7 linked regions of the Mus musculus genome follow. The protein of the gene in region 1 interacts with the protein of each later gene in a pairwise test. Links are inferred from orthologs where the notes say so. Each region holds a gene or a part of one and is shown in the gene's direction. Other genes may lie near its edges.

Region 1 (3,500 bases):
GGTATACCCAGAGTGGTCTCCTGATTCTTTATTCCCCATTTCGACAGGATAGCCATGTCTTAAAAAGTAACTTTGGTTGGCCGTGTTGTGAGTCAGCACACATGGCCCCAGGGCTGACATGGGAGTACTATTTGAGGCCAGGAGTTCAAAGCCAGCCTGGGCAACATAGTGAGAATCCTTAGCACAGCAACTGGGGAAGAAATCATTTCCTCCAAGTATATCTTTTTTTTTTCCCCTCTGTTACCCTTGAGGACCTGTTCCAGCCTTTGCACTCTGGTGGGCTCTGCTTCCGCCATCATTTTCAGTTGTAGAAAGGGGCAGATGAGGCCATCAGGAACAACCCTTTGGAGTGTCCCTCTAGACTGTTACATGGGCCATGCTTATATGGATTCACCAAGCTTATATAAAGTAGCAATTAATCAGGACACTGGGTGAGATTGATAGGCAGCAGAAGTAAAGGGTATCACTTTGTCCTGGAGAGTTATCCAAACTGTATACCACCAGTTTCCTTATTTAGCTTCTTGAATAACCACTGAAGGTGAAGGGACAATATAATGGCATTTCTCAGAACTGTCACTAGGCTACTACCTACCTGTGAGCAGCTTACCCTGACTGACCCAACTTCAACAGTATTGAGCCAAATGGAGGGTGCTTGGTTTCTTGGCCATGTGTGGATGCTGCCTGGCGTCTGTGTTACTGATGGACTGGGTTCTCCTTATTACAGACTGTACTTTTTTTTAAAAAAATGTGAATTGTTTTTCCATTTTATGTACCTTGGTGTTTTGCCTGCATGTATGTCTGTGTGAGAGTGTCAGATCTTACAGTTACAGACAATTGTGAGCTGCCATGTGCGTGCAGGGATTTGAATCACTGAGCCATCTCTCCAGCTCTGCCCAGTCTTTCTTTACCCTTGCAGGTTCATGGAGTTTGAGGCCGAGGAAGAAACACAGATACAGAATGCACAGTTGATGAATGGCTCCCCGGGTCTGTCCCCTATAGCCCCTTTGAAACTTGATCCTCCAGGGTCCATGGTCCCTGAGGCTTGCCAGCAGCCAGGTAAGGCCACCCGCAGTGCAGACGAGGATTAGGAAACTCTGCTTTTGCTTCTGTCTGTCTTTCCTGGGAGTGACATTGTTATAAGCCAAATGCAATGCCCCCTAGGAAGCTGGGGTGTTAGCTCCTTTTGTCTTGAATGAGCTATTGATCTTGGCCAAGTAAACTACTCTCTCATCTGGATTGTGCATGAGTCCTATCCTTTATCGGACATGGCGTTGGATCAGATGGTTTGTTGGGATGTCAAGGTGTGTGGAAAGATTTCTAACCGTGTTTTCTCTCACACCCCCTCCAGCTTTTTATGTTTTCTCCCCTAACACCTCAATCCCATTCTGGAACCCGAATTTCTTCCCTTCCAAGTATCACTGGGAAGTAGATACCAAGGCTCCTTCCCCACTCTCCACCTCTTCCCTCAGTGTACATCCCTAAGAAGGCAGCCTCTAAGACTCGGGCTCCTCGGCGGCGGCAACGCAAACCTCAAAGGCCTCCTGTTCCCGAGGCACCCAAAGAGATCCCACCTGAAGCTGTGCAAGAATATGTTGACATCATGGATGGGCTGATGGGAAGCTACGTGGACACTGGGAAGACAGAAGAGGAGGAGGAGGGGCAGCAGGAAGGTGCAGGGATGTATCCAGATCCAAGTCTTCTGAGCTACATTGATGAACTCTGTTCTCAGGAAGTCTTTGTCTCCAAGGTGAGCTAGGTCTACAATGGCTAATTTCTGGTATTTGGGGGCGAGGCACTATCAGGCATCAGCTCTCTGGGGTTCTGCATGTGGTAGGAGCCTCCATCCTATAATTTTGAATAGATATCTATGAGTTGGATACTGTGGGGCACCAGCCATCTGGGGTTCTGTGAAAGTCAGTAGGCTCCATTCTATAATTTGGAAATAGGTATACAGGTAGGTAGCTGATGGTAAGGACTACCACAAATTTTTGTAACAAACTCCAGCATTAAAGTTTGTCTCTATGGGCTATGGGCCTCATAGATTTGTCTCTAGAGCACCTGGGCTTACAGATCACTCCATATCAAGATTTACACCACTCTCCTTTCTGTTCCCCAGGTGGAGGCAGTCATACACCCTCAGTTTCTGGCAGATCTGCTGTCTCCAGAAGAGCAGAGAGATCCTTTGTCTTTACTTGAGGAACTAGAGCAAGAAGAAGGACTGAATCTTGCCCAGGTAAACTTGGGAGGCAAAGAACACAGGCAAAGGATCCTGGCTGATTTTGTATAACCCTTTGATATCTTGATACTGTTTGTGAGAGAATTTAGGTTTGGGCTTTGGGTCATATAAGGGCATAGAAATCAGCAGTTGAATAACACAAGGATAACCTTCACACAGTGCACAAAAGCATTATGCCTACAGTCTAAAGCAAGTAGGGAGGGAACGAGGAAAGGCTCACAGCTCTAACGCAGAGAGAGCTACAGTATCTATCTTTGACACCATCACTTAAAACACTTGCTTTTCTTCCCCACACTATCTACCATCTCCTATCACCCACTCAGCCACCTCTTCTCCTAACCATGTATAGAACTGGCATTTGTCCATTCCCTTCCAGCTGGTCCAGAAACGACTCTTGGCCTTGGAGGAGGAAGATGCACAGACACCTCCAAGTTGCAGCGGAGCTCAGTCAGACTCAAGTCCTTCTGTTTCTGATGAAGATGAAGACGGGGGTCAAAGGCGTCGGCCCTCACCTGGGCTTCAGGGGGCTGCGGGCATTGTTCGCATTGGAAAATCTGCTTCTCCAGGCAAGCAGGCAAGAGAAATACATGGTGGGCAGGAACAAACACTAGGTGGTCCAGCGGGGATTCACAAGGATGGAAATAATCTGCCATCCCCTAGCAGCTGGGATGTACAGCTAGAGCTCACAGCTTCACAGGGGATGCCAGTACTCTTGGGTATGGAGAGAAAAATGTCTGGGAAGGCTATAAAACAGCTATCTGCAACTCAGGATGGCCACCTGGGAAGGACTGGGTCCCCTGGGTACTACCCAGTAGCAGATAGGAATCCAGAGGTTTTACCTTGTTGTTGGCAAGAAGATCCCCAACACATGAGAGCCCCCAATTTTGATGTTGGACTTACAGAGCCAGTTCCTCTGCAAGGACTTGGGTTAGAAAAACAGGCTTTGACATTGCAGATAGGAAAGCGGATCGGGGGAGCTGGGATGCTTACTCGAGGAAGAGAACCACCTTCAGTGGTTTCCCAGAAGGGCTCTTCAAGGGCCGTGCGGGGAGATGACAGAGGTCCTGGTATGCTTCAGAGTTACAGTCAAAACCATTCCCCTGGAGCAGCTGGCAACCTAGACAGGGTTTCTCTCAGCCCAGGACTGTGGCTGAGCAGTGACATGGGTGCTGTAGGTTTAGAGCTTCCCTTACAAATTGAGACTGTCATAGACAGCATCCAAGATGAGGCATGCAGAAGAGAGGACCAGGCATTGAATTCTAGA
Region 2 (4,209 bases), on another chromosome or scaffold:
TAGACTTTTTCAGCACTGTGACCAGATATCTGACAGACACACTGTAACAGAGAAAAGATTTCTTTGACTCCTGGAGCCCATCATGAAAAGGAAGGTGTGTTGGCAGGTCTTGCCCCGTCTGGTGGCTAGCATATGTGGCCGGTGCTCACATCCAGCAGACAGAAACCTGATGGCTCTGGCCAGCAGTGAAGCCTTAGTGAACCTAGTGGAGTATGTAAGCCCTACTTCCCCAAAGCTCCATAGCTTGGTTTTTACCAAGTATTCAAGAGGATGAAACTGTGAGGTTCATTTCAAATTCAAACCGTAACGAATAGGTGTCACGAGATAAAATCAAGGTATTGGCAGATCTGTTCTTCCTGCAGACTAGGAAAGATCTGTCCCCCAGCCTTCTCAACCTTCTAGAAGCTACCTACAACCTGTTACTCACAGACCGTTTATCCATTTTCAAAGTCGCAACACAGCATCATCAAGTCTCTGATTTGGCTGTTATTGTCCTGTATCTTTCTTTGCCGTTTGTTTGTTTGTTTTTCGAGACAGGGTTTCTCTGCCTCCCAAGTGCTGGGATTAAAGGCGTGGGCCACCACCGCCCGGCTTTTTCTTTGCCTTTTTAAAAGGACCTTGGCAACTGCGTTGAGCTCACCAGGATAATCCAGGATGGCCTAAAGTCAAGATACTGTTAGAACTACACACATTGACTCTGTGAAGCTCTCTCCCCATCAAAGCATGCCAGGGGAAGCCCCTCTTTGGGGATGAGGTCCTCACCCATTGCACACAGCCTGTGGTTGCCCATTTTGTGTTTTTATGGTGGTTTACATTTCCATTTCCCTTTATGAGCAGCGGGCTGCATCTGCACCTACTATAGCACAGATGTTACTGAACACTTAAATGAATGAGTAAATGAATAAACATTGCTGGGCAAAAGGGATAGCGGGGTGAAAGAAACAAGCAGCCTAGTAGAATATAATGATGGTATTTTTGTGTGACTCTGTAGTGACTCGATCCTAGAGTTTCAGCTTCTGTAAGTCCTAGCCATCTTTCAAGATCACCTGAGGTCCTGTCCTCTGTGAAGACTTTACCCCTCTGCCCCAGCCACCTGCACTTCTGTCACCATGCTGTGTCACCCTTTGGAGTTCCCCTCATAATCCAGAGGTTTTTGTGTCCTCCCCTGTCCCACAGGAGGAATTTGGATGATGGCTCAGCACGGCTGTAACTAGAGAAATCACTGCTCACCCGCGCTCGCCTCAGTTCCCCCAAATGTGACAGGCACGGTGGAATCAGTGTGGAGTTAGCGGCGGGCCAGGCACTAAGGAATTCAGTGCTGAGGGGACGGAGGCGGCCAAGGGCGGGCGACGGAAGGCTGCGGGCGGGCGGGCGGGCCGGGGCGGCGCCGGGCGAGAGCGCGGAGGGACGCGCGACCCTGCGATGGGCCCAGGGGCGCGGCTGGCTCTGCTGGCGCTGCTGGCGCTCGGGGGAGACCCCGCGGCGGCCACGGGGCGGGAGGACACGTTCTCCGCGCTGACCAGCGTGGCGCGCGCCCTGGCGCCCGAGCGCAGGCTGCTGGGGACACTGAGGCGCTACCTGCGCGGCGAGGAGGCGCGGCTGCGCGACTTGACCAGGTGAGGGCGTCTCCAGGGAGCCGGGATGCTCAGCGACTGAGGGTGAGGAGTAACTGAGGCCCAAAGTGACTTCCAGACCCAACTGTCATGTGGTGGGGACCCTGAGACACTTTGAAGGGGAATGAGGAGTTCTGTGTCACTCTCTCTCTCTCTCTCTCTCTCTCTCTCTCTCTCCCTCTCTCTCACTCTCTGTGTCTGTCTGTCTGTCTGTCTGTGTCTGTCTCTTTGTCTCTGTGCCTGTCTCTCTGCCTCTTTGTGTGTGTGTCTCTGTCTCTCTGTTCCGGTCTCTGTCTCTCTCTGTGTCTATGTGTCTGTATGTATGTGTGTTTGTCCGTGTCTCTGTCTCTTTCTGTTTCTCTGTCTCTCCCTGTCTCTCTGTCTCTCACTCTCTGTCTCTGTCACACACAAACACACACCCCGGGGTGTGACACCACCCCCCATCCACCTTCACATGTCCAAGTTGATACACTGTGAAAAAGTGTAGGTAGCATGGAGATTCTAGAGTCCAGTTGGATCTCACAAATACTGTGTCAAGCAGCAAATGACCTTGGACTTCTTGTCAAGTTACTGCTGACACAGTAGAATGCTGTGGTGACCATTATAGCTCTTATTTCTTTTTCCATGGGTAAAAGTTCTCTGAATGTAAGTAGTAGCTGAGAGGTTGTATGTATGTGAAAATGTCTGACTCCAAAGAAAACACTGTGAAAAACTACTTCACACGGGGTAATACTGGGAGTAGTGTGCACAAACACACAGCCAACATTATTTTTTATGCAGTCAGCAAAGTAGAGTTAGATCCTGGAAGGTAAACTGTTGTAAAGTGTGGGACTTAGAGCACTAATCAGTGTCCAAGATGAAAAAGGAATGCTTGCATATGATACCAACATGTCTTGTGCCTTCTTTGCTTTGGACACTGAGAAGCCCACGGACTATAAGGCACAGTTGTTTCCACATAAATCCAATTGATCTTACAAACTTGTCTAGACAGAGCAGAAGCACATCATTTGATTTCCAGTAACTTTAAATTTCAAATCCATTCCCATGCCAACCCGCCCTGCTCCACTCCCACAAATGTTTATAAGAAATGGTCATGAAGGACAGCCAGTTTCGTAAGGGTTGGCTTAATCCTGCAGTCTGCTCTTCAAATGCCATTGGTGGCAACTGATGGCTTGTAGTTAGACACGCATTTGTTTGAGTTGCAGTATCAAATTGGTTTGTTAAAAAAAAAAAACCTGCAGATTACATTCTTACACTAAGAAAAACAGGCTGTAAGCAGGAGACAAGTTTAGGAAAAGCTAATAAAAGACACCTGTCTATACTAAAAAAAAGGAGGAGGAGGAGGAGAAAAAAGGGAAGAGGAGGAAGAAGGGAAAAAGGAGAGGAGGAGGAGATGGAGGAGGAGGAAAAGAAGAGGAGGAAGAGGAGAAAGCCAATGCAGGAGAAAGTGTGTGGAACACTGTGGGTACCAAGTGACTCAGAGTCTAGATTCAGGAGCTCAACAGGTCTCTGAATTTTTGACTCTGACCGTGTTATATCTTTAAGCTTTAGTTTCCTAATCTAAACAATGATGCTTTAATGGTTATTCCCATAGGGTTCTTGGAACGATTGTGTCCAGGTAAAGTTATTTATCATTGAGCTTAACATGTAGTAAGTTACTGAAAAAATGTTAACTCCCTATGACTCTTCAAGGCTGGCTGATCAAGTAGACTCGGCGCAGTGGGGAGGCTGAGGCAGGAAGACTGCTGTGAACCAAGCAACACAAGAGCAGACCACCGCTGCTCAGTGACTAAGTATTAAATTAACCCTGCCAATGGAAGCACTAGCTGGGATTCTAAAAGATTAAAAAGGGAATTTTTAAAATCCCAGATCCGTTTCTCAGATGATTATGAACATTTAGTCTCATCACAGGCAATCTGATGCTCTAGAGGCTGTGATTCTGTCCCCTGGTCATGCTCGAAAGCCAGCGTGAAGTGTTTACTTTTTAAAAATGATTTTTTAAATCATTTTTTAAAAATTGGGGTAGTTTCAGCTCACTTTTCTATAGATTCAATCTGTTGATTTTATATAAGTTGAAATGTTATTTCTAATGCCCCTGTTTTATATACTTTGAGTTTCTAAATCAGGAAATGAAGTGGCTTTGGCTGCTGAGGCTGCTCTACCTGCTAATGGATAGAAAATGTTCTAATTAGAGCCCCCATCACCGAGTACCCAGTAGAGCACACAGTCTGCATGGGGGAGGGGGGGTAGTCTAGTTTGTTTTGTTGGTGCCATTTAAGAAACACAAAGAGTAAAAGAGTTGGAGTGATTTCTGAGCTTAGAATGAAGCATTCAGAAGGTCTCAGAAGGATGAAGGCAAAGCCATCTCTCAGTTTCAAGGGAGAAAAGTATCGAATTGACATGGCCCATGGCTTGCGGCTGAATAACCTCCCCAGGAAGCTAACTGCAGGGATTGGGTTGCAAATTTTATGTGCAGATTCTTGAAGGAAAGGATCTGATTTTCCACTCTCAGCAGCATTTGTTAAAGCAAAAAGGCATTTAGGAAAGCCTGAGGTTGGCCTTCAGCGTCCTGTAACTCAGTCTCTGTTTGCTCAGA
Region 3 (4,137 bases), on another chromosome or scaffold:
CTACCTCTGCCTCTGAGTGCTGGGATTAAAGGTGGGCGCTGGAATGCCTGGCCACACTTAGATTTTTAACTTTTTGTTTGTTTGTTTTTTTATTTTTATTTTTTGGCGGTCAGTACGAGGTGGAGCTAAGACGGGCTGTTATAAAGCACAGAGTGGCCTGGAACTTCCTGATTTGAACTTCTGATTCTCCTGCCTTGGTCTCCTGAGTTAGTTAATTAGGATTATAGATTTATGTTCCCACACCCCACGTATGCAGTCCTGGGGACTGAAGCCAAGGCTCTGTGCATGCTAGACAGGCAAGTTCTCAGCTATGAGCACTGCTCTGGCCTATAAACCGAAAGAACTAGAATCAGGTAAGATGGATATAATATATTGGGACAGGAGCAAAAATTGCTCTGTATTAGATGGCCAAGGAGGATCTGAGTGACTGAGCCTTGAAGGAGTAAGACTATTCCAGAAGAAATAAGGCAAGGGCCCAAACATGGTGGCGCATGCTTGTGATGCTAACACTAAGGAGGCTGACACAAGTGAATTAGTTCAAAGACAGCTTGGACTATACAGAGTTAAAGCCAGCCTGGCTGACATAGTCAAACCCTGTCTCAGAAAGCCTGTAGGAGGAACTCAGGGAAAGCTCATGAGGTTGGGACGTGGAAAACAAGCACGGTGGTGCACGCCTCAATCCACAACACTGGGGAAGCCGACCAAGAAGAAGGAAAGCTTAAACCAGCCCTGGCTCTATAGCGAGCTCCGTGTCGGTCTTGGCTATATAATGAGAATCCATCTCAAAGAGAGGATGGGGTTCTGGGGAGATGGCTCACACACAAACGTTTTTAAAATAAAAGAGAATGGGACAAAAAAAATGAAGCACGTGGGTAGGAGAGAGGGCGGGAGGAAGGTTCTTCCTGGTAAGCCGCTGTGGTCTGGTATTTTGGGAGCCAGCGCCATTCTGGAGGGAGGTATGTTAGGTGCACATCATTAGGACTCCTGGCTGCGGGCCTGAGCCTGGTAACGCATGCCTTAATTTCAGCACTAGAAAGACAGAGCACACAGAGGCCAGTGGAACCCTTTGATTTGAAGGCCAGCTCGGTATAAATAGGAAGTTCCACGCCAGCCTATGTCATAAAAACGAAAAACTGAAAGACTCAGCTGCTGAGACCGCGGTAGCTACCCTATTGAGGGGCTAAGACAGTGCAGCTGCAGGAGTTGCACACTCACAGCTGTGCAAGCCCTGGGGAGGTGTGGCGAGTGGGTCTGGCATCTGGGGCTGCTTATTGGCGGTGAGGTAGGCGTGGCAAGAGCGGTATCGAGACAAAACTACGCAGGCGCCAAGCTCCCTCGTTTCCATGGCGACGACGACTCAAGCGCTTCAACGGCTTGGCAACTGCCCTGTCCCAAGACTTTGGTCCTACCGCTGGACTCTGTAGTCCTAAGTGTTTCAGTTTTCCCTATTCGGGTTGCTTCCCAAAACCAAAGGAATCTTAGCCCCTGGCATGGGTGACCTGGAACTGCTGCTGCCTGGGGAGGCTGAGGTGCTGGTGCGGGGCCTGCGCAGCTTCCAGCTTCGGGAGATGGGCTCTGAAGGGTGAGGCAGCCGCCACAGGTGGAGTCACTGGTCTTTTAGTGGAGGAGCTTGGAACTGACATTGGAGAAGGGGTTGCCAGTGTGGAGGGGCCTCCAGGTGGGTAGGCAAAGCTCTCTGAGATAGAAGCGTATGGCCCCCGTGCCCCTCTGGCCCCAGGACAGGATCATGGTAGTCTTCAGTAGGATCCAACCCCACCCTCACTCCCGTTGCACATCTGGTCACCCAATGTACATACATCCCTTCGGGGGCAGGTGGAATAAGCAGCATGAGAGCCTGGAGAAGCTGAACATGCAAGCCATCCTTGATGCAACTATCAGCCAGGCTGAGCCCATCCAGGAACTGCTAATCAACCATGGGAAGGTACGTCCAGGTCCCAGGCAGGATTCCTGCCTTCTATTGTACCTCTTGGGGACACTAGGCAGCACCTGTTCTTCCTTCAGGCCTGGTACACCTAAGTGGGAAAGAAAAATATGTTTGTTTTATTTTGAGATAAGGTGTTGATCTGTAGCCCAGATGGCCATTAGCCTAACTGTGTCTGCCTCCCAAGTGCCGGGGCTGCAGGCATGCCTCGCTGTACCTGGCTGGCTACATTTCCTATTGTACCCTCAGTGGATGCGAGAGTGGATGGAGCCATGGATCCTAGGCTCCAGGGGGAGTGCTCAAGTGCTGACATGAGCCTGAATTGACTGTAAGGCCAAAGAGATCCTCTCTAAGGAGGAAGTGAGGCTTTCCAAATGGGGAAGGTAGCACACTAGGAGAAAGTAGAAGCCGGGAAAGATGCCTGGCTGGAGGCTGGGCCAAGGGCGGCCCTAGTTCTCCTGCAAGAGAAAGGCAGAGCTGGGTAGCAGGGATTGGTCTAGGAACAGGGCTCAGTAAAGGGCTGAAGTAAGAGTAAGGCCAGGTGACAAAGACCAGAATAAGGACAGGAAGAGCAGAGCTGCCCTAAAGTGGGGTATCCCTGGACGGAGGGTGGGGTAAGGTGCAAGAGGGCAATGGCAGTAAAGGCCATTCAGAGGAAACCCAAGAGAGTTGGAGACTTAAGACAGGCTAAAGCTGGGACAGGAAAGCTGAGGGACCAAGGCAGGGCCATTTCACCCCTGCTTCTCCCCCGTCCTCCGCAGATCCCAACGCTGGTGGAGGAGCTGATTGCGGTGGAGATGTGGAAACAGAAGGTTTTCCCTGTGCTGTGCCGGCTGGAGGACTTCAAGCCCCAGAATACCTTCCCCATATACATGGTGGTGAGCTGGGCCCTCAGAGTCCTGAGCCGAGAAAGATAGCTAACAGCCAGTCCCTGTCTCTCCCTCTCAGCCCAGCCCCGTCCTCTTCGACAGGTACACCATGAGGCCTCCATCATCAATCTCCTAGAGACAGTGTTCTTCCACAAGGTGAGACACTACTCTGCAGGCCTGAGCCTGGTGGGCTATGTCGGCCGGGGAGGGCATCGAACCCCAGAAATATCCCCTCCCTGAACCCCCCCAGGAGGTGTGTGAGTCAGCTGATGACAAGGTCTTGGACCTAGTAGACTATTGCCACCGCAAGCTGATACTGCTAGTGGCCCGGAAAGGCGGTGGTGACCTGTCTGAAGAAGAACAGTTCCAGGACAGTACCCCTATGCAAGTAAGCTACGGTTTCCTGGACTTAACAAAATCTCGATGTGAGTTCTCTCCAGCCTCCACAGGCAGGGTGAATGCTATGTGCCTGTGCCCCTACCCCCCTCTCCCGCACCATCAGGAGCTGCAAAAGCAGGCGGAGATGATGGAATTTGAGATATCCCTGAAAGCCCTCTCGGTGCTTCGCTACATCACAGACTGCGTGGATAGGTGGGCCACCCTCCAAGGCCCGGGGGCGAGCACACAACAAGGGGCTGTGTGTCCTGGCCCGTGGCCTCTGCTGACCACCCTTCTACCCTACCTCTAGCCTTTCCCTGAGCACACTGAACCGCATGCTCAGGACTCACAACTTGCCCTGCCTCTTGGTGGAACTGCTGGAGCACAGTCCCTGGAGCCGGCGGGTAGGAGGTAAGGCTCCCCCTCCCATTTGCCTAAGATGTAACTGGCTGCTTCCAGAACACCCTTCAGGATCAGTGTGAAGGGTACAGGGTACACATTTAGGATTCTGGGATACCTCACCCGAGATGGGACTAGAGTTTGACTCTGAGGCAGACAAGTCCTGTGAACCATTTGTTGAAGACTCCACCTTGTTCTGACGTCTGGTGGCCCAGGCTTTCTAACCTTGCCAGGCAGTGGTGGACAGTCCTCCGGACCACACACTCTCAAAGATAACACAACACCCACCGGCATCCGGTGGGCTCCTTCTCCTCCCCCAGGCAAGCTGCAGCATTTTGAGAGTGGCCGATGGCAGACGGTGGCCCCCTCAGAGCAGCAAAAGCTGAATAAACTGGATGGGCAAGTATGGATCGCCCTGTACAATCTACTGCTCAGCCCTGAGGCCCGAGCCCGTTACTGCCTTACAAGCTTTGCCAAGGGACAGCTGCTTAAGGTGGAGAACTCAATGACCCCGCCCAGCCCCACTGCCCCCCTGCCCAGACCCACCCC
Region 4 (3,976 bases), about 8.3 Mb from region 1:
GGCCTTGAACGATCATTTCTGGACTCAGTTTCAAGGAACTCAAGGCCCAGGGGGACCTAGGTTTTTCTCCTGAAAAGTAGCTAGCTGGAATCCATCTCTTCCCTTCTGTATTTCTTTCTCCTTCTAGAACTTGTCTTCAAGCTTGAAGGAGAAACCTGCCCTTTTCTTTGTTTTATATAAGACAAAATAATAGTAAGTAATAACTGAAAGTCTTTTTATCGGGAAGGAACTTCCTCCGGTCCAAGCAAGTATTGCTGCTGATACTTTACAGAGAGGGCCAGCCTCACCGCTGGAGTTCGCTCTTTGAAAGAGGCTAGGGGAGGGAATTCTGCCGCCAGCAGATGGAGAGGAGACCCGGACAACGTGGTCCCTCCCAGACACCCTCCCTGCGGGATTAGCTGCCCCCAGCTCTGCTCAGGCGCACCTAGCGCGTGAGGTTCCTGGTCACACAGCTTGCGCCCCTCTCTGGAGAGCAGTCGCAGCTACTAGCTTGCCGCCAGCAGAGCCGCACTGTCTCGGGCATCGCAGAGCACCACGACTGTGGACTTGGGACCTCGAACCCGAGACGAGCGCGCGCTAGCCAGCCATTAGCAACGCTTGCATTTCTGCAGGTGCTTATTTCACATTCTTGTCTTTTCTTTCCTGCTGGAACGGGCGAGTGGTTACTTTCAGCCTGAGGCCAAAGGGAAAGGCAGAAGAAGGGGAACTCTGAAAAAGACAGTTTAGTGGCAGCGGGATTCTTGCCCCAGGAGAGGGGCTCAGGGGAGACTCTCGGTCTCTGCCGCGGGCCCTTTTAAGAAGCCAAGTCAGGGCTGCCGCTGTCGCCGTTGCTGCTGCTGCCGCTGCCGCCGCCGCCGCCGCCGCCGCCGCTATTTGGATTGCTAATCCCCAGGAGCCCCGTTTAAAAAAAAAAAAAAAAAGGAAGAAAAAAAGGGGGGAGGGGGCGGGCAGCTGTCTCTTTAAATGTGATTTCCTTCTATTGTATTTGAATCGTGATCAGGAAAAAGGAAATGAAACCAGAGACAGAGGGAAGCTGAGCGAAAATAGACCTTCGCGAGAGAGGAGGGAGCCTGGGGAGAGCCGCGCGGTCAGCTCCCCGCCCCCAGGCCGCCGCCCCCTCACTGCCCCCGGCGCCCCGACCCCGGCGAAGGTGCGAGGGGCTCGGGGCGACCGGGCGGAGCCGGCTACTGCGCGCGATCGGGACCGGGCGGCGGCGGCGGCGGCTGTGGTGACGGCAGCGGGACCGGGATGGAAGGTTAAGTCCTGAGCAGCGGCAGCTGTCGCAGCCACCGGAGGGAGGCCGGGCTGCTCCCCGGCCCCCTGCCTTGGCCGCCGCGCGCCGGGCAGCTGGATGATTCGCTCTCTCTCTTTGGCGTTTGAAGGGAGCGCGGTGACTGTCCTTGAGCGTGGAGGGGCGAGCTCGCCAGCGGAGCGACCGAGCAAGAGGAGGCGCAGGAGCGGCGGCGCCCGAGCACCCGAGGGGGTCCGAGTCCAGGCAGCTAGCCAGCCACGCGCCACAAAGGGAGCGCCCCCGCCGCCCGGCACGCCGCCCCCCTCCCCAATGTCCTCGGCCATCGAAAGGAAGAGCCTGGACCCGTCTGAGTAAGTGTGGCGCTTCTGTTCCGGCACCCCAAACAGGGTCCCAGGCTAGGCGCGAGGGGCTGACTCCAGGTGCGCGCCCGCAGCGTGCCCTTGATCCCTCCGTCTCCCAGGGGTTCTCTTTCCTCGCGGGTGACTCTGGAAACACCGAGAGGGACTGGGCGGCGGAAGCTGTAACTGGGATCGACCCTGCGGACCGCTCCGGGCTATCTGGAAAGCTCCCCAAACCTTTACCAGGGCCAGAAAGTTTGCCCAGGAGCTGGCACCCGGAGCTCTGAGGCACAGGTGCAGGGCAGGGAGAGTGGAGGACAAGATTCTGCCTTCTCCCTTTTCGTCCCACCCTCTCCAGGTTCCCTTCCTTTTTGTCCATTTGGCCTTGGAAAGGGGGGCATCCCAACTAGAACATCCCGGGGTCTCCGACGTCGACTCTCCTACCAGGCCCGGAGTAGAGCGGACAGTTGATGAGGTCCGCTTGTCCACCTGGGAACTGGTTCTGGCCTCCAGAGACTTCTAGAATTGCTAATCTGTCGTTCCTCCCGGTACATGTTCGCCCCTCCCCTGAGTTTCCTAGTGCGGGCATGTGAACCTCGAAAGTTAGTGCACATTTTTTTTTCTGTCTAGTATGTTTTTCTAGGGAGCAGAATCTCATCGAACTCTCAGAAGGGCTGTGTGTGTGTGTGTCAGCGAACCAGAGCTTTAATGAGCATGTACTGTCTAGTGCTCTGAGCTTTGCGCTGGTTTGCAAAGAACAGCCCCCCCTCCCTTCCCCATTCCACAGCCTGTACCCTCCTAGCCCATTCTCTAGCCTTAACAAGGGGAGCCAGGAACGAAGGTATCGGTTTTTTTTTTTCCACGTCCACACAAATGCCCTTTTAAGAGTCATTAGCTGTCTGGTTTTGAGTTTTTATTCCTTTGAAGTCCTCATCTAATCCTTTGAAGGGATTTGTTAACACAAGACCAAAGGCACTGCTAATGACTTGTCCGTTTGGGCTTTTAAGATGCATTTGTTTTGGTGGGGTTTTGCCCCCCTTTTCTTTTCTTTTCCTGCTTTAAAAGAATTGTGCTTTCCTGCTGGAGTTTTCCTATTCACCCCCCCCTTCAATTTCAGCCTTCTGTGGTGTTTATTTACCTGGGCTTTACCCTCAGCCAGCAGCATAAAAACCCAGCGTGTTCTCATAAAACACAGGAAGTCCCACGATCCAGCAAGAATATAAACATCACTCTTCAGTCTTGAAGGTTAAGACACTAGCTCAGAAAGGAGCTAGGTTTGTTGGCAAGAGGACCAGCTTCCTTAAAATCTCAGGAGAGAAACAACAACCCTTTAAAGAGTCAGTGTCTATAGCTTGTTCCCTTTTAAGCATAAGCTTAGAATTACATCTGGGCCCCGAGTTTTCAGAAATTGGACAAGACATAAGATTACACAGTTGGGGAGGCAGTCTGGTGAACTGCTGTTTACTGGCTCCCTATCAGCACAACCTAACCACTAATCCTTTATTAGATGTTGAATCTACAGAGTTTGGCTTCTTAAAAAAATTACTAATTACATGAATGTGTGTGTGCACCTAAGCTCAGGTCCCCTGGAGGCTAGAGGTGAAGGATCTCCCTAGAGTGGGAGTCACAGGTAGTTGTGAGCCATCTGATTTGGGTGTGGAGACTCCAACTTGGGTCCTTTGGAAGAACAGAAATCATCCTTAAACAGCTGAGCCTTCTCTCCAGCCTGGGAATTGTGTTCTGTAAAGGAAGTTTACTCTTGCTAAAGTTGGTGCCTTTTATTGCCTCAGACTAGAAAACTGAAAGGTATCTCATAGCTGTAGTAGTGAGCACCTACCTAGTTCAGGAGGTCCACTGGTAGTTCATCTTTCCTGCAGTATGTGTCCGGTAAAGGAAGGCTGTAACTGAAGATGGACAAGCCCCGTGGGAAATGTCTGTGGAACATTTCCCCTCTTTCTGGGAAATTGTTGAGAAATTTTTGCCAGAAAATCAAAGCTAAAGAGATACTCAGGTGTCATATTTGGGACAGGCTGGCGGGAGAATATCAAATATTAACTTAAGGTAAATCTCATTTAGTCTTTGGCTTGAATTGTTCAACAGAGGTAATGGCATGTCATTAATTATAGAAAGATAGACCGAGTCCGAATCTTGTCCTGTCTTTATCTGTTGTTCTCAGACCCTCGTGTCTCTTTCTCGTGCAACTAGCTCTCCTGCCAGCGGCCTCACTGAGTGCTTGCTCAAAGCCAGCTTGGGTCTTTACCAGCTTGGATCTCCAGATGCAGATCGGTCCTTGCCTAGGCACGTGCAAAGGTAGCGTGTGCACAGGAAGCCAGTATTCATGAACACAGATATCCTTCACCATGCAATTGGTGTTCCCTTCTGCTTC
Region 5 (3,500 bases), on another chromosome or scaffold:
CCTAGGAGAGTAGTGGAAAAGGCAGAGTCAATTGGTGCGTGAGCATCATAGTTAAATAGCAGTAAGAGGTATGCTGGTGTTGCCCAATAGAGTGACATTAGCTAGTGCCACAAAAAGCTAAAGAAAGAAGTTTGAGTGACCTATGTTAGAGCAGATATAACGTAAGCAACTCTACAATATCTATGTATCTCTAAAATATCATATGATAATTAATAAATGTATACATCATTATAGTTTACCCATAAAAGTCAATTAAAATATAGAAATAAGTTTCCTTTTTGAGCATAAGATAGTCTACAAGCTGATAATTGGGCCTCCAGGCTGTCATGACCCTTGTATGTAACATCTATTAACAGTAGGTTCGTAATCTCCATGTGGTGCTGTCCTAGGTGAATGTCCATGATCTCATTAACCATGTCCATTAACCATTTGCCTCTTCTCCATTGTATTTGTCAGGATTTCCCAGAGAACAGAACCGCCATGTGTGATAAGGGAATACATAGAATTTAGTAGGAGAGTTGCCTTATCCATAATGGAGGCCAAGCCCTCCCAAGGTGGACTTTGTAAATGTTAGAGACAGACTCGCTCCTTGCAGAATTCCCAGGGCTCAGAATCAGGGGAGTTCATTTCAAGTCCTATACTTTCAGATGCCCAACATTCCTGTGAAAACACCCTCACCACCACACATGCCAAATGCTTTCCTTGTTCTCTACTATTCCTTATCCCAGTAACATTAGTGCCTAAAATTAAGCATCATTTCCATAGTGAGTTGAAAAAGCAGAGGCAGCATCATTTATTTACTAGATGAAAGAGTAGGACCCCACCCCACCCCTACTCCCACCCCCACCCCACCACGCAGTGGTAAGCAGATCTGAGTTTAAAGCCAACCTGGTCTACAGAGTGAGTTCCAGGACAGCCAGGGCTATACAGAGAAACCTTTTCTCAAAAAAACAAAAACAAACTAGAAGAATAGGACCTGATGTTCCTACAGAATCTAGCCCTTCCAATGTTAGAAAGCAAGCATGTGGATTTCCATATTGTTTAGCATAGCCATCTTAGCGAGGCTCAAGTGTTTATGTCTGTATCTAATACTTGTTTATCCTCTGATTGGTGGTTGTTATATAAATGCTATTCCTAGCCTTATTTGCTCCTATATTATTTGTAAATAATAGAAATTGTTCGTATTCCTTCACAGATCTGTACTGTTGAACCACATGGCCAGAGAACATGCTTTCAACATTGGTTTGCCAGACAACATTGTAAATTGCGCTGAATTCCTATGCACATTGCAAAAGAAACTGGACAAGTACGTATTCGCAAAACACGGCCTAAACCTAATTTAATATTAGACACTTCTGAATTTTTAAAAGTTATTTGAATAAGTTAATTTAATTTAGAATTAAATGAAAGTTACTCATTTCTTATACTGTGGGATTTTACCCTTTTTTGGTATTATGTAGCTTTTATCTAGATTATATTGCCTTCTAGTGAGTTTTGAAATTATTGCATTTAAATGCATGCTTTATGCCAAACATTGACCATTTACATCATAAAAAAATATACTCATCATCAATATTCTGTACTTTTCTCATTGCTGTGACCCGATACCTGGTAGGTCAAATCTTCGAGAAGGCAGGGTTTATTTTGGCATATTGTCCCAAGGCATGCAAACCATTGTGACAGGGAAGGGAGGGCTTTAGGAGCAGATGGAGCCTGGTCACATTGCTTGCGCAGTCTAGAAACCGAACAGTCTTTGCCACAGTTTGAACTAGACATCAAGTTGGCCAACTTAGACTACTACAAAGCAAACCATACCATACCATGCTTTCTACAAAGCCAAGTAGCTAAAGGGACAGGGGATTCACCGAGAAACCGTTTTAACCTCGTTTATTGTAACACAAATAAATAAATGTAAAATTAAAATAGGGTTCTGCAACAATTGTCTAAGGGATATGTTTAGCAGTGTGTGTATATTTCCTTTAGTTTACAGTGTTTGTACTGTGAGAAGACCTTCAGAGACAAAAACACCCTTAAAGATCACATGAGAAAAAAGCAGCATCGTAGGATCAATCCAAAAAACAGAGAATATGACCGATTCTATGTCATCAATTACTTGGTAAGTCTTGCTGCTTATAGTTTAAAATTTGGCTACAATACCACAATCAAAATCTACCTACAAACCAACAAATGTCTGAATAATGAATGAATTGACACAAAGGTTAAAAGGCAATGAGAGGCATTATCAAGAAGTAGTTAGCAGTGGTTTACAAAACAAATTTGATGGGTTGCATTTTGGCTTGCCAGATGTTTCTGCAGTAAAGATGACAGATGCATCTCTAGAATTCAGTGTGATAGCAACTGAAAAAAACAAACAGTATTTCATTATATACAAACCATTCCCCGTTTGGTGCTATCTGGCAGCTTGAAGCCAAGGGTTTATGTACTCTGCTTTTAAAAGCCCTTATTGAGTATTGAGTGTGCTAGGTGCCACACAAGATAATTTTTTAAAAGCAGTTTCTTAACTCTTCTCCCATCTCCCCACTAAATGATCCTCCCCTTATCCTCAAAATAAAATGTGCATCTGTATCATTGTCTGCCAACTTCTCTTTAAGGAAAGTTTCAGAAAAACTGTTCCATTTTATTAAGCAAATATTTTTGATTGGTGGCCCATGCCACGGATTTTAAATGTTTTAAGGTATAAAGTTTCTATCCTGTCTGCTGCCCACTGTAGATTCATCCTTTGAGGACAAGCAGTGATATTCAGTTAGAGACAACATTCCTAGAGTTATTTAAAATTCTGGGAGGGGATTTTGGACTGACATAATGACTGGAGAATGCCACCAGGCCTGCCTCAGTCCTCCAGCTTTTTCATTGTATGTAATGAGGGGTCCTACCCATACTTAGAAAAGGATTACAAGTGCTATAGAACAATGAAGGATGAAAGTTCTCATGCTGAAATTCCCTGTTCTTCCCCCTCTCAATATAAGTACATTAAAATCGAAGCCTGATGATTTGGAAAGACTAAAGGCATATTATCAGCCACTTCCTATGTTGGGTAGAGAGATCTGTGTTGGAAGTCCCTGCTCTCATGTGCACTTTTTGTGTGTTTTAACTTAGTCATATAGTGTTAAACAGAAATTCTCTTCAAGAAGTGAGTTTAGCATTTGCTTAAAGATTGGCTCTGGGAACTTGCCAAGGTTTTCTACAAATGTTTTACAACCAGCAAAGGCACCCTCTGAGTCCTTCCATCTTCTCTTCAAGTCATTCAGTCATGACTTCCTAGAGCCAGTGCTGCTTCAGGGCCCAGCCCCCTCCAACAGGGAGTGGATGCCAGCACTGGTATGCAGCTGCTGTAGCGAACCATGAAAGCAATTTACTAGTTCTCCTTCCGGGGCCCTTTAAACTAATATGCACGAGCTGTGAACTAGCAGAACACTGTATAGCTGGAGTCTCTACCTTGGAGGGAGACTTCAAAGGATCCACACACCCGTGTTCTGCTA
Region 6 (4,163 bases), on another chromosome or scaffold:
ACCACACACAAAACTGATGGCATGCCGGCTTGGGTTCCAAGGCAGCGCCAGGCGAAATCCGGCCCTGTTTTTCCAGGGATACGTAAGCGCCACCCCACGCAGGTCCTTCCACCGAGAAACGAGCGATGTCTCCAGCTCCAGACTTAGACTTCCCCTCCTACCTCTACTGCCTTTCAAGTGCTCTCACCTCGAGTCCAATCTGCCATCGCGCCCTCCAGGGTCCCACTCAGGGAATTCGCAGCACAGCAACGGACGTGGCACCAGTACCCGGGTCTTCCGGTTCCGCCTCCGGGCTAATAACTTCCGGGAGAAGGTTCTGAAGCGGAAGAAACAGACCTGGAGTGCTTCTCGGGAATGTAAATAAGGGAAGGGCGGGCCACCAGCATTCGGACCCACGGATTGGTCAGCAATATTAGTCCTGCGCTGTGGGTGTTACTCGGAGCAGGTGTTCAGACCCAAATTTGGAGCAGAGGCTAGGAACCAGCTCAGTAAATCAGTCGGATGCCTCTGGCGCTGCTAAATCCAACTGGATGGGGAGGACAGGCAGACCCGAAAGAGACTGGTGAAGGAGACGGCCGGGGCCTGCCACTGAGTAGGGGCAGAGCCGGTTAGCACGGCGGGTGACATCATCCACTGGAGCACTGTTTGTATGTGTCACTGTGGGGCACCGACTCAGCTAAGTGGCGTGCGGACCTGGCTCCCCGCTACACAGCGCTCCTACGCTTCTAACCTCAGACACGCCTCGGCTGGCCGCCCCTCCGTTGCTCCTCTCGCGGGAGTGGCTTTTCCACGGGTGTTCTTCACTTCCTTCTCTGCAATTTTCTTGAGAATAACCGTATTACTTTGGTGGCTATTCTTTTTAGATAGGTCTGCTAGTTTCTGCCTCTCGAGTGCTGGGATTTAAGAAGGCGTGCGTCACTATGCCCGGCTAACCACGTGCATTATTTTGACCATCCAAGTCGTTGTACTTCTCTTTCCCTATTCCCTATGGAAGATGAGCTCCAAGGCCTGGATCGCGAGAATCGTCTTCCCCAACTGATTAAGCGGCCAGGAGCCGGCGCTCCCTTTTTTATCACAGTACGGGGACAAGAGCGTAAAGAGGACGGTCCACGCGCGGGCCAAGCCACACCCCACTCCCCACCCTCCCATCCCACCCCACCCCCCGCCTGCCAGGAACTCGGGCTAGAGAGGAGGGCTCAAAAGGAGGACACTGCCTGGCTGGTTAGCTAGCATCGCCGCTCCAAGACTAGCCGCTCAGCGACCACAGCCGGGTTGCTCCACCTTAAGTCGGAGGCGCCTGTACACACCCTTGGGTTCGGCTGCTCTCCCAGCATCCCTCACGCGTGGACGCCGGGCTTCCGGACCTGGGCGGAGCCCCGGGGTTTGGCCGATTGCGTCTTCCCAGCCCAAGCCTTCCAGCACCCGGTGCCAGGGGCCATGGAGCCCCGGGCAGTTGCGGATGCCTTGGAGACCGGAGAGGAAGATGCGGTGACAGAAGCTCTGCGGTCGTTCAACCGGGAGGTGAGAGGCATCCGGCTGCCGAGGAAATTTCAGGAAGAGAGGAAGCAGGGGTGTGCGCGCAACTCGGCTGGGGTGTGCGTGCGAGTGGTGGCAGGGAGCACGGCGGTGGGTGGTGGGCTGGTCCCTCGGGTGGCTCTGTGGTGGCGTGTGGTGGGGCAGGTGTATGGGAGGCTAGGGTGGGCCTTGCCTTAAGGTTCAGAGCGATGGATGCTGCTTCAGAGGTCTGCTCTGACTCGAGGAGCACGGGTCCTACCTGCATGTGGATCTGAGCCTCCTGGGTCTCCCTGCAGCATTCTCAGAGCTTCACCTTCGATGATGCCCAGCAGGAGGACAGGAAGGTAGGTGTCAGCCCCAAGGGCTCCTAGGGCAGGCACGGGCTGACCCCAAGAAGAGGGCCTAGTGGAACCACTTTTGTTCGACCCCACAGAGACTCGCAAAGCTACTGGTCTCCGTCCTGGAGCAGGGCTTGTCACCAAAGCACCGTGTCACCTGGCTGCAGACTATCCGAATCCTATCCCGAGACCGCAGCTGCCTGGACTCATTTGCCAGCCGCCAGAGCTTACATGCACTAGCCTGCTATGCTGACATTACCGTCTCAGAGGAACCCATCCCACAGTCCCCAGACATGGATGTCCTCCTCGAGTCTCTCAAATGCCTGTGTAATCTTGTGCTCAGCAGTCCAACAGCACAGATGCTAGCAGCAGAGGCTCGCCTGGTGGTGAGGCTAGCGGAGCGTGTGGGACTGTACCGCAAGAGGAGCTATCCCCACGAAGTCCAGTTCTTTGACTTGAGGCTCCTTTTCCTGCTAACAGCCCTTCGCACGGATGTGCGCCAGCAACTGTTTCAGGAGCTGCACGGTGTACGCCTGCTGACTGATGCGCTGGAACTAACACTGGGCGTGGCCCCCAAAGAAAACCCTCCGGTGATGCTTCCAGCCCAAGAGACGGAGAGGGCCATGGAGATCCTCAAAGTGCTCTTTAATATCACCTTTGACTCTGTCAAGAGGGAAGTTGATGAGGTAGGTTGGAAGTCTTGGCTGAGACTCAGTTCGGGTGGGACAGTTTGCTTCCCTTTGTACCTCAGCTTGCAGGGTATCAGATATGGCGAGGACTAGAGGATGGTGTAGGCGGGAACTCAGGGAAGGTGCCTGAGCCGCACTGTGCATGGGGTTGCAGGTGGGTATTCTCCACAGTGCTTCAGGTGGCCAAAAGCACCACATGTGCTGTGCACAGCGTCTAGGGATCAACTCCATGTGGCCACAAGAACAGGGGTTCGATCTCACAGGAGCCCCTTTCTGTCTTTGGTTAGGAAGATGCTGCCCTTTACCGGTACCTGGGGACTCTTCTGCGGCACTGCGTGATGGTTGAAGCTGCTGGGGACCGCACAGAGGAGTTCCACGGGTGAGGGGTAGGGCTCACAATGTTGGGGACGGCAAGAGTTCCTAGGTATGGGTACAGAAGTCCTTAACCCTAGTTGTGAATCAGAAGCACTTGGGGGCCCAGGCCCCACCTTTGACTTCATCAGGGGAATGGGGCACCAGTGTTGTTTCCAGAGAGCCTAGGTAACTCAGGTATGGCTAAGAGAAGAGCTATGAACTTAGAGACAGGGCCTTAGGCGGAGGCAGTATGGTCTCTTGCTGGTGCCTCTGCTCATCTCAGGTTCGAGAGATTGTTTGGCATCTCAGCTCAGACATAATGGCCCAGATAGCGTCTGCAGAATCTCCCCACCAAATTTGAGTTGGGGTACCACCTGCCCTTGCCTATAGTCTATTGCTTTCAGTGCAACCCTTCGAGCCCATCCATGTGTACCCCAGGAGAAGGGCCAGGGAGTGTATCTGTGCTAAATATAATTACTGTGTCGAGGCCTCTGTGTGTCTGTCCCCAGCCACACGGTGAATCTCCTGGGGAACTTGCCCCTCAAGTGTTTGGATGTGCTTCTGGCCCTGGAGCTCCACGAAGGATCCTTAGAGTTCATGGGAGTTAACATGGATGTGATCAGTGCCCTCCTCGCCTTCCTAGAGAAACGTCTGCACCAGGTAGGACTGGGGGCCTGCTACGTGGACACCCAGGGGCTCGGGCACCTGTTGTGACTGCTGTTTCTGAACCATTGGTACTGGCGAGTAGAACTCAGCTTGACGATATATCGTGGACAGTTGCTCTGACTGCTCTGTGGTGCAGCTAGACGGTGGCCGCTCAGTCAGGCCCTCGCAGAAGCCTGCAGATACACTGTGTGTGTGAGCCCTCCTGCTGCTGATTACCAGAGGAGAGCAAGCTTCTCGGGTCCCAAGGTGAAAGGTAGCCCTTAGGTCTCTGTGGCTCTGCTAAGTGGTTCTCAGAAGCCTTTAGTTCCCGCTTCCAACCGTCAGGCTCCTCGTGTTTCTATACATGGGCAGCCAGAGGCGACATTGTCCCTCTGCATTTTTTTGGTTTTGTTTTGTTTTGTTTTGTTTTCAAGACAGGGTTTCTCTGTGTAACTCTGGCTGTCCTGGAACTCACTCTGTAGACCAGGCTGGCCTCAGACTCACAGAGATCTGTCTGCCTCTGTCCCCTGAGTGCTGGGATTAAAGATGTGTACCGATACCACCGTCACCCCACCCCCACCCCCCAGCTGTCCCTCTGCATCTTAAAGAGGCATAACCACAA
Region 7 (4,200 bases), on another chromosome or scaffold:
CCAGTGCTAAGTATGTGCTGGGCGTTGTATCTTACATGGATTCGCTTCACTAACTCCCATTATAACTCCAATGATGTTGGATGCTGTGTCCCAAGGAGACAAGGTAATTTGTTCTTACCAACAAACCAACAAACCATCTTGCTGGCCAAAGAAACTACATTTTGCAAGCTTTTGTTGTTGTTGTTGCAAATTTATAGGTCTTTCCATAATTTGGTCTCACATAATCTGTGATTTAATCTCATTTCTTCATATTTCCTAACACAAGTTCTAAAGAGATCCCTTTCTTTACATTCTATTTTTCAATGACTGCACTTATTTGTTTTGTTTTGTTTTGAGACAGGGTTTCTCTGTATAGCCCTGGCTGTCCTGGAACTCACTTTGTAGACCAGGCTGGCCTCAAACTCAGAAATCTGCCTGCCTCTGCCTTCCGAGTGCTGGGATCAAAGGCGTGCGCCACCACGCCCGACTCAATGACTGCACTTTAATCTACAATCTATTCCACAGTTTAGCTTATATTACCTAGTGAGTATTATTAATACCATATTGAATTTATTGGTCTGATCTTATTTTACAGGCCAGAGAGCTCACTAAGTTACTCAAAAACATACACAATTTGTAAGTAGCGAAGATAGGATTTGAACACAGAAATCAAATCTTTTCAAATTAACTTCAAACTACCGTTCTTTTGGCGTTATGTTCTCATACAGGTCCTGAAAAGCCACCCTTATTTTCATCATTACCATTTTCTAACCTGCAGCTGAAGAAATCCCAATCCAAAAAGCTATTTGAAGCCATTTGCTTTGTCTTTCAATGCCTCACACATGTCATATGAGTTCCATGAGAGAAGCAACGACGGACAACCCTGGCTTCCCAAGCCCTGAAGAACTTGCTGCCCACACGCACTTCAATAAATAAACATACAGCTATACAGACATTCGGGAACAGTATTTGGGAAGATTTGCTCCAATAATAGCAATATATTTTAAATACAGAAGACGTGGAACACAGTGATTCCCTATGAATGCAAATGTGCAGCGCATCATTAATTACAAAGCTGAGCTTCTAAAGCACGGTTTAGGTTTTCTCTTCATACTTAGCGGTGGAGTTGTTCATGCATCTAAAAATCACAACCTTTAGAGAGGGTAGCCACTTTGAACACTTGTTCAGCCTTATTTAGGATTAAAGTTTATGCCTGGAGGTCTCTGGAGAGGGGAAACCTGGGTCCTTGTTTTCTGTTGGGACTAATGAGATTGGACAGCCGGCTCAGCCCCACCTCTCTTTCAGATCTTTGGCCCAGACTCCCAAAACACTGGGCCCCTCACAAAGATGGCACGAAAGAGGGCTGGACCAATGGGGAGTGGCGTTGCTCGCGGTTGCCTAGGTAACAGCCAATGAACAGCAGGAATTGTGCCCAGTGCGGCCCGTCAGGGATGGCGGCGTCCAGTGTGGCTGAGGCGGGTGGAGGTGGCGGAGGGGAGAGTGGCAGTTGGGAGCCCAGAGCAGCAAAGATCCTAGCTGCTGGAGACCCGCATCGCGTTGGGGCGTGACAGTCGTCGCCCAGAAGCCAAGCTCAGGTAGGCTCGCGACGCGGGTGGGAGGAGGACCTGGGAGTGCGGTCCACCAGGTAGGGACTAAGGCGGCAAGCAGGTGACTGGGCTAGGGAGCGAGCCTCTGTCCTGGCTGTACTGACCAGAAGGTGGCTGTGAGTGGGACCCCAAAATTGGGTTTGGAATTTCGATCCAGAGGTTGTAGCCCCGGAGAACACAGAACACTGGTTATCGAGAGGGGTGTGCCAGGCTGTGTCTGGAGGGAATGCCAGACCCATGAGAGCCTGAAGAGCCTGTGTGGTGGGGGCCGACCCCCCCAAAAAAGGACGGAGCCGGGCTGGGATGAAAAATGCAGTGGAAGACTGGGTTGCCTGGTGAAAGTCTGGGGCTTTGTTTAATCTAGGGCGCGTCTGTGCCACAGGTAGGGAGAGGTCCCACATACTGAGGCTTGGGAAATGGATTGTCATCTCTGCAATTCCGCATCCACAAACAACTTAGGTACCAACCTGAGTAACTTCGCTTTATTAGAGCCCAGCACAGGCATTCTCCTTTCCCTTGGCATAAAATAGTGTCCAGACAATATTACTTCGGAGAGTCCACCACTCTTGGTTCATCGTGTTTTTAAAAACCTTCCTGTACCAGTGTTCTCTTTTCATCTTTTTGCATCTAACTATCCCACATTCTTCCTAAATAAGACCTGCTTATAGTAACAATGCCCCTGTTTACTTTCCAGCTAGGAAGGGGATTCGAATTATAAAGTTCAAAACCTAATTATTTCATATTCATTTAAAAACACATTTTATAAAACAGTATTTCCAGTTTCCTAATATTTGTTCATCAAAGCTTTCATTTTTTTTCTCCTCTTAGGGTTCTAAAAACCCAAGGTTGCTTCCCTTTTTTTGTTTTTTTTGTTTGTTTGTTTGTTTGTTTTTGGTTGCTTCCTTTATAACTAAAAGATTGCCAACCCAAGAAAGTGGTTTTGGGGACATTTTGGAGATTGTGTGAGTAGTTTGGGTGGCTACTTCCAAACAGTCTCTAACTGGGATATGATTATTCGTAGATTGGAGGGGGGAACTGTTGTTATTTTGTTTTTTTTTTTTTGTTTTTTTTTTTTAAAGGCATGTGCCACCATTGCCCGGTGACTTGTACACTCTTTTTTTTTTAATTTAATTTATTTATTTATTTATTTATTATATGGAAGTACATTGTAGCTGTCTTCAGACACTCCAGAAGAGGGAGTCAGATCTCCTTACGGATGGTTGTGAGCCACCATGTGGTTGCTGGGATTTGAACTCTGGACCTTCGGAAGAACAGTCGGGTGCTCTTACCCACTGAGCCATCTCACCAGCCGGTTATTTTGTTTTAAAACTTCTTAATTTAAGCTGAACATGGTGGAGCCTTAGGACGCAAAGGTAGATCTTTGTGAGTTCAAGGCCAGCCTGGTCTACATAGTGAGTTCCAGGACAAGGACTACATAGATCCTCTTTCAAAAAACAAACAAAAACTTCTTAATTTAGACAAAAGTTGCTGCAAATACATAAATGTTCTTTAGTAAGCTTGGTTTTATGAGGGGTGGGGAGACAATGAGACACACAAGAAATGGCTCAGCAATAGTGAATAGTGTTTACTAGCCAGGAATTAGTTCTTAGCACCTACATGGTGGCTCGCAGCACCTGTAACTCCAGTACCAGGGCATCTAAAGTCCTCTCGGGCTTCCATGGGCTCTTGTACACACGTAGCATACATACACTCATGCAGGTTCACATTGAAACACATGAATTTAAAGCACTTTTAAAAAATGAAAACAACTTCTTATCGGGTGCTCTTACCCGCTGAGCCATCTCACCAGCCCTGTCTTTGGGTTTTATTTGGAGCCATCCATGGATTTTTTTTTTTTTTAAGTAAAATATCAAAGGATATGGTCTCCTTTGCACGGTCCTAGGACTTCGGATTACAGAGACAGAATAGTACTTTTAGATTATGTTTCGGACTGGTCTTTTGCAGCTTGTCTATCACGAGTATAGAAAGGGCTCTGTGGGAATGTGAGTCGTCTTGGTTTGTGACTGTATTCTTCCGTGTATAGCTTGAAAGCTTGGGGCATCAATTTTCTTCAGCAGGATCATATAAGCAAGTATTGTGAACATCGATCTGTGTCCGTTATTAAAGTGTTGGGCTTTTTTCCACTAGTACTGGCTACACTTTATTAAACTATATTTGAGCCAGACGATGGTGGCGCACGCCTTTAATCCCAGCACTCGGGAGGCAGAGGCAGGCAGATTTCTGAGTTTGAGGCCAGCCTGGTCTACAGAGTGAGTTCCAGGACAGCCAGGGCTATGCAGAGAAACCCTGTCTCGAAAAAGCCAAAATAAATAAATAAATAAATAAATAATAATAATAAAATAAAATAAAAACAAAACAACAACAACAAAAAACAAAAAAACTATATTTGTCTCAGTAACTATGGATAATCTTGGTTACCGGTGAAATTCCCTCTTGGCCTCGTGGCTGTGGAGCTATTAATTAATACTGATAGTTACAAGATTCATTAGTTAAAAATTCAAACACTGTCCCAGGTAGTGACAGTATCAGCTGTTTGGACACATGTTGCATTTCCTAGCCAAATGTATTCAGCCATAGCCTGAGGTCCATGAGT

The links.
Region 2: the proteins of Nutm1 (region 1) and P4ha3 interact in binary tests that used the Homo sapiens proteins (3 or more experiments, as listed by UniProt). The two-hybrid records come from large-scale screens. The link is inferred for Mus musculus from reciprocal best matches to the Homo sapiens genes NUTM1 and P4HA3.
Region 3: the proteins of Nutm1 (region 1) and Zmynd10 interact in binary tests that used the Homo sapiens proteins (3 or more experiments, as listed by UniProt). The two-hybrid records come from large-scale screens. The link is inferred for Mus musculus from reciprocal best matches to the Homo sapiens genes NUTM1 and ZMYND10.
Region 4: the proteins of Nutm1 (region 1) and Lmo2 interact in binary tests that used the Homo sapiens proteins (3 or more experiments, as listed by UniProt). The two-hybrid records come from large-scale screens. The link is inferred for Mus musculus from reciprocal best matches to the Homo sapiens genes NUTM1 and LMO2.
Region 5: the proteins of Nutm1 (region 1) and Zfp277 interact in a two-hybrid assay, tested with the Homo sapiens proteins (2 studies listed by BioGRID). The two-hybrid records come from large-scale screens. The link is inferred for Mus musculus from reciprocal best matches to the Homo sapiens genes NUTM1 and ZNF277.
Region 6: the proteins of Nutm1 (region 1) and Ric8a interact in binary tests that used the Homo sapiens proteins (3 or more experiments, as listed by UniProt). The link is inferred for Mus musculus from reciprocal best matches to the Homo sapiens genes NUTM1 and RIC8A.
Region 7: the proteins of Nutm1 (region 1) and Morn4 interact in binary tests that used the Homo sapiens proteins (3 or more experiments, as listed by UniProt). The two-hybrid records come from large-scale screens. The link is inferred for Mus musculus from reciprocal best matches to the Homo sapiens genes NUTM1 and MORN4.

Annotation. Positions count from the first base shown.
Region 1 is NC_000068.7:112,249,292-112,252,791, reverse strand, and holds part of Nutm1 (NUT family member 1), read left to right. Parts: intron 1-916; coding exon 917-1,056; intron 1,057-1,469; coding exon 1,470-1,747; intron 1,748-2,116; coding exon 2,117-2,233; intron 2,234-2,612; coding exon 2,613-3,500. UniProt on the Homo sapiens protein: Plays a role in the regulation of proliferation. Regulates TERT expression by modulating SP1 binding to TERT promoter binding sites.
Region 2 is NC_000073.6:100,284,111-100,288,319, forward strand, and holds the start of P4ha3 (prolyl 4-hydroxylase subunit alpha-3 precursor), read left to right. Parts: upstream 1-1,409; 5' UTR 1,410-1,422; coding exon 1,423-1,616; intron 1,617-4,209. UniProt on the Homo sapiens protein: Catalyzes the post-translational formation of 4-hydroxyproline in -Xaa-Pro-Gly- sequences in collagens and other proteins.
Region 3 is NC_000075.6:107,545,967-107,550,103, forward strand, and holds the start of Zmynd10 (zinc finger MYND domain-containing protein 10), read left to right. Parts: upstream 1-1,337; 5' UTR 1,338-1,490; coding exon 1,491-1,582; exon of another isoform or gene 1,583-1,711; coding exon of another isoform or gene 1,712-1,833; coding exon 1,834-1,942; exon of another isoform or gene 1,943-2,033; intron 2,034-2,703; coding exon 2,704-2,820; intron 2,821-2,913; coding exon 2,914-2,967; intron 2,968-3,061; coding exon 3,062-3,199; coding exon of another isoform or gene 3,200-3,313; coding exon 3,314-3,402; intron 3,403-3,499; coding exon 3,500-3,600; intron 3,601-3,908; coding exon 3,909-4,081; intron 4,082-4,137. UniProt on the Homo sapiens protein: Plays a role in axonemal structure organization and motility. Involved in axonemal pre-assembly of inner and outer dynein arms (IDA and ODA, respectively) for proper axoneme building for cilia motility.
Region 4 is NC_000068.7:103,969,111-103,973,086, forward strand, and holds the start of Lmo2 (rhombotin-2), read left to right. Parts: upstream 1-1,176; 5' UTR 1,177-1,248; coding exon of another isoform or gene 1,249-1,255; 5' UTR 1,256-1,351; coding exon 1,352-1,602; intron 1,603-3,976. UniProt on the Homo sapiens protein: Acts with TAL1/SCL to regulate red blood cell development. Also acts with LDB1 to maintain erythroid precursors in an immature state.
Region 5 is NC_000078.6:40,327,291-40,330,790, reverse strand, and holds part of Zfp277 (zinc finger protein 277), read left to right. Parts: intron 1-1,195; coding exon 1,196-1,306; intron 1,307-1,983; coding exon 1,984-2,116; intron 2,117-3,500. UniProt on the Homo sapiens protein: Probable transcription factor. Involved in modulation of cellular senescence; represses transcription of the tumor suppressor gene INK4A/ARF, perhaps acting via the Polycomb group (PcG) complex PRC1.
Region 6 is NC_000073.6:140,856,034-140,860,196, forward strand, and holds the start of Ric8a (synembryn-A), read left to right. Parts: upstream 1-1,363; 5' UTR 1,364-1,437; coding exon 1,438-1,521; intron 1,522-1,811; coding exon 1,812-1,859; intron 1,860-1,948; coding exon 1,949-2,539; intron 2,540-2,829; coding exon 2,830-2,921; intron 2,922-3,405; coding exon 3,406-3,556; intron 3,557-4,163. Other genes in the region: Bet1l (BET1-like protein), read right to left, coding at 188-206.
Region 7 is NC_000085.6:42,083,571-42,087,770, reverse strand, and holds the start of Morn4 (MORN repeat-containing protein 4), read left to right. Parts: upstream 1-1,400; 5' UTR 1,401-1,574; intron 1,575-4,200. UniProt on the Homo sapiens protein: Plays a role in promoting axonal degeneration following neuronal injury by toxic insult or trauma.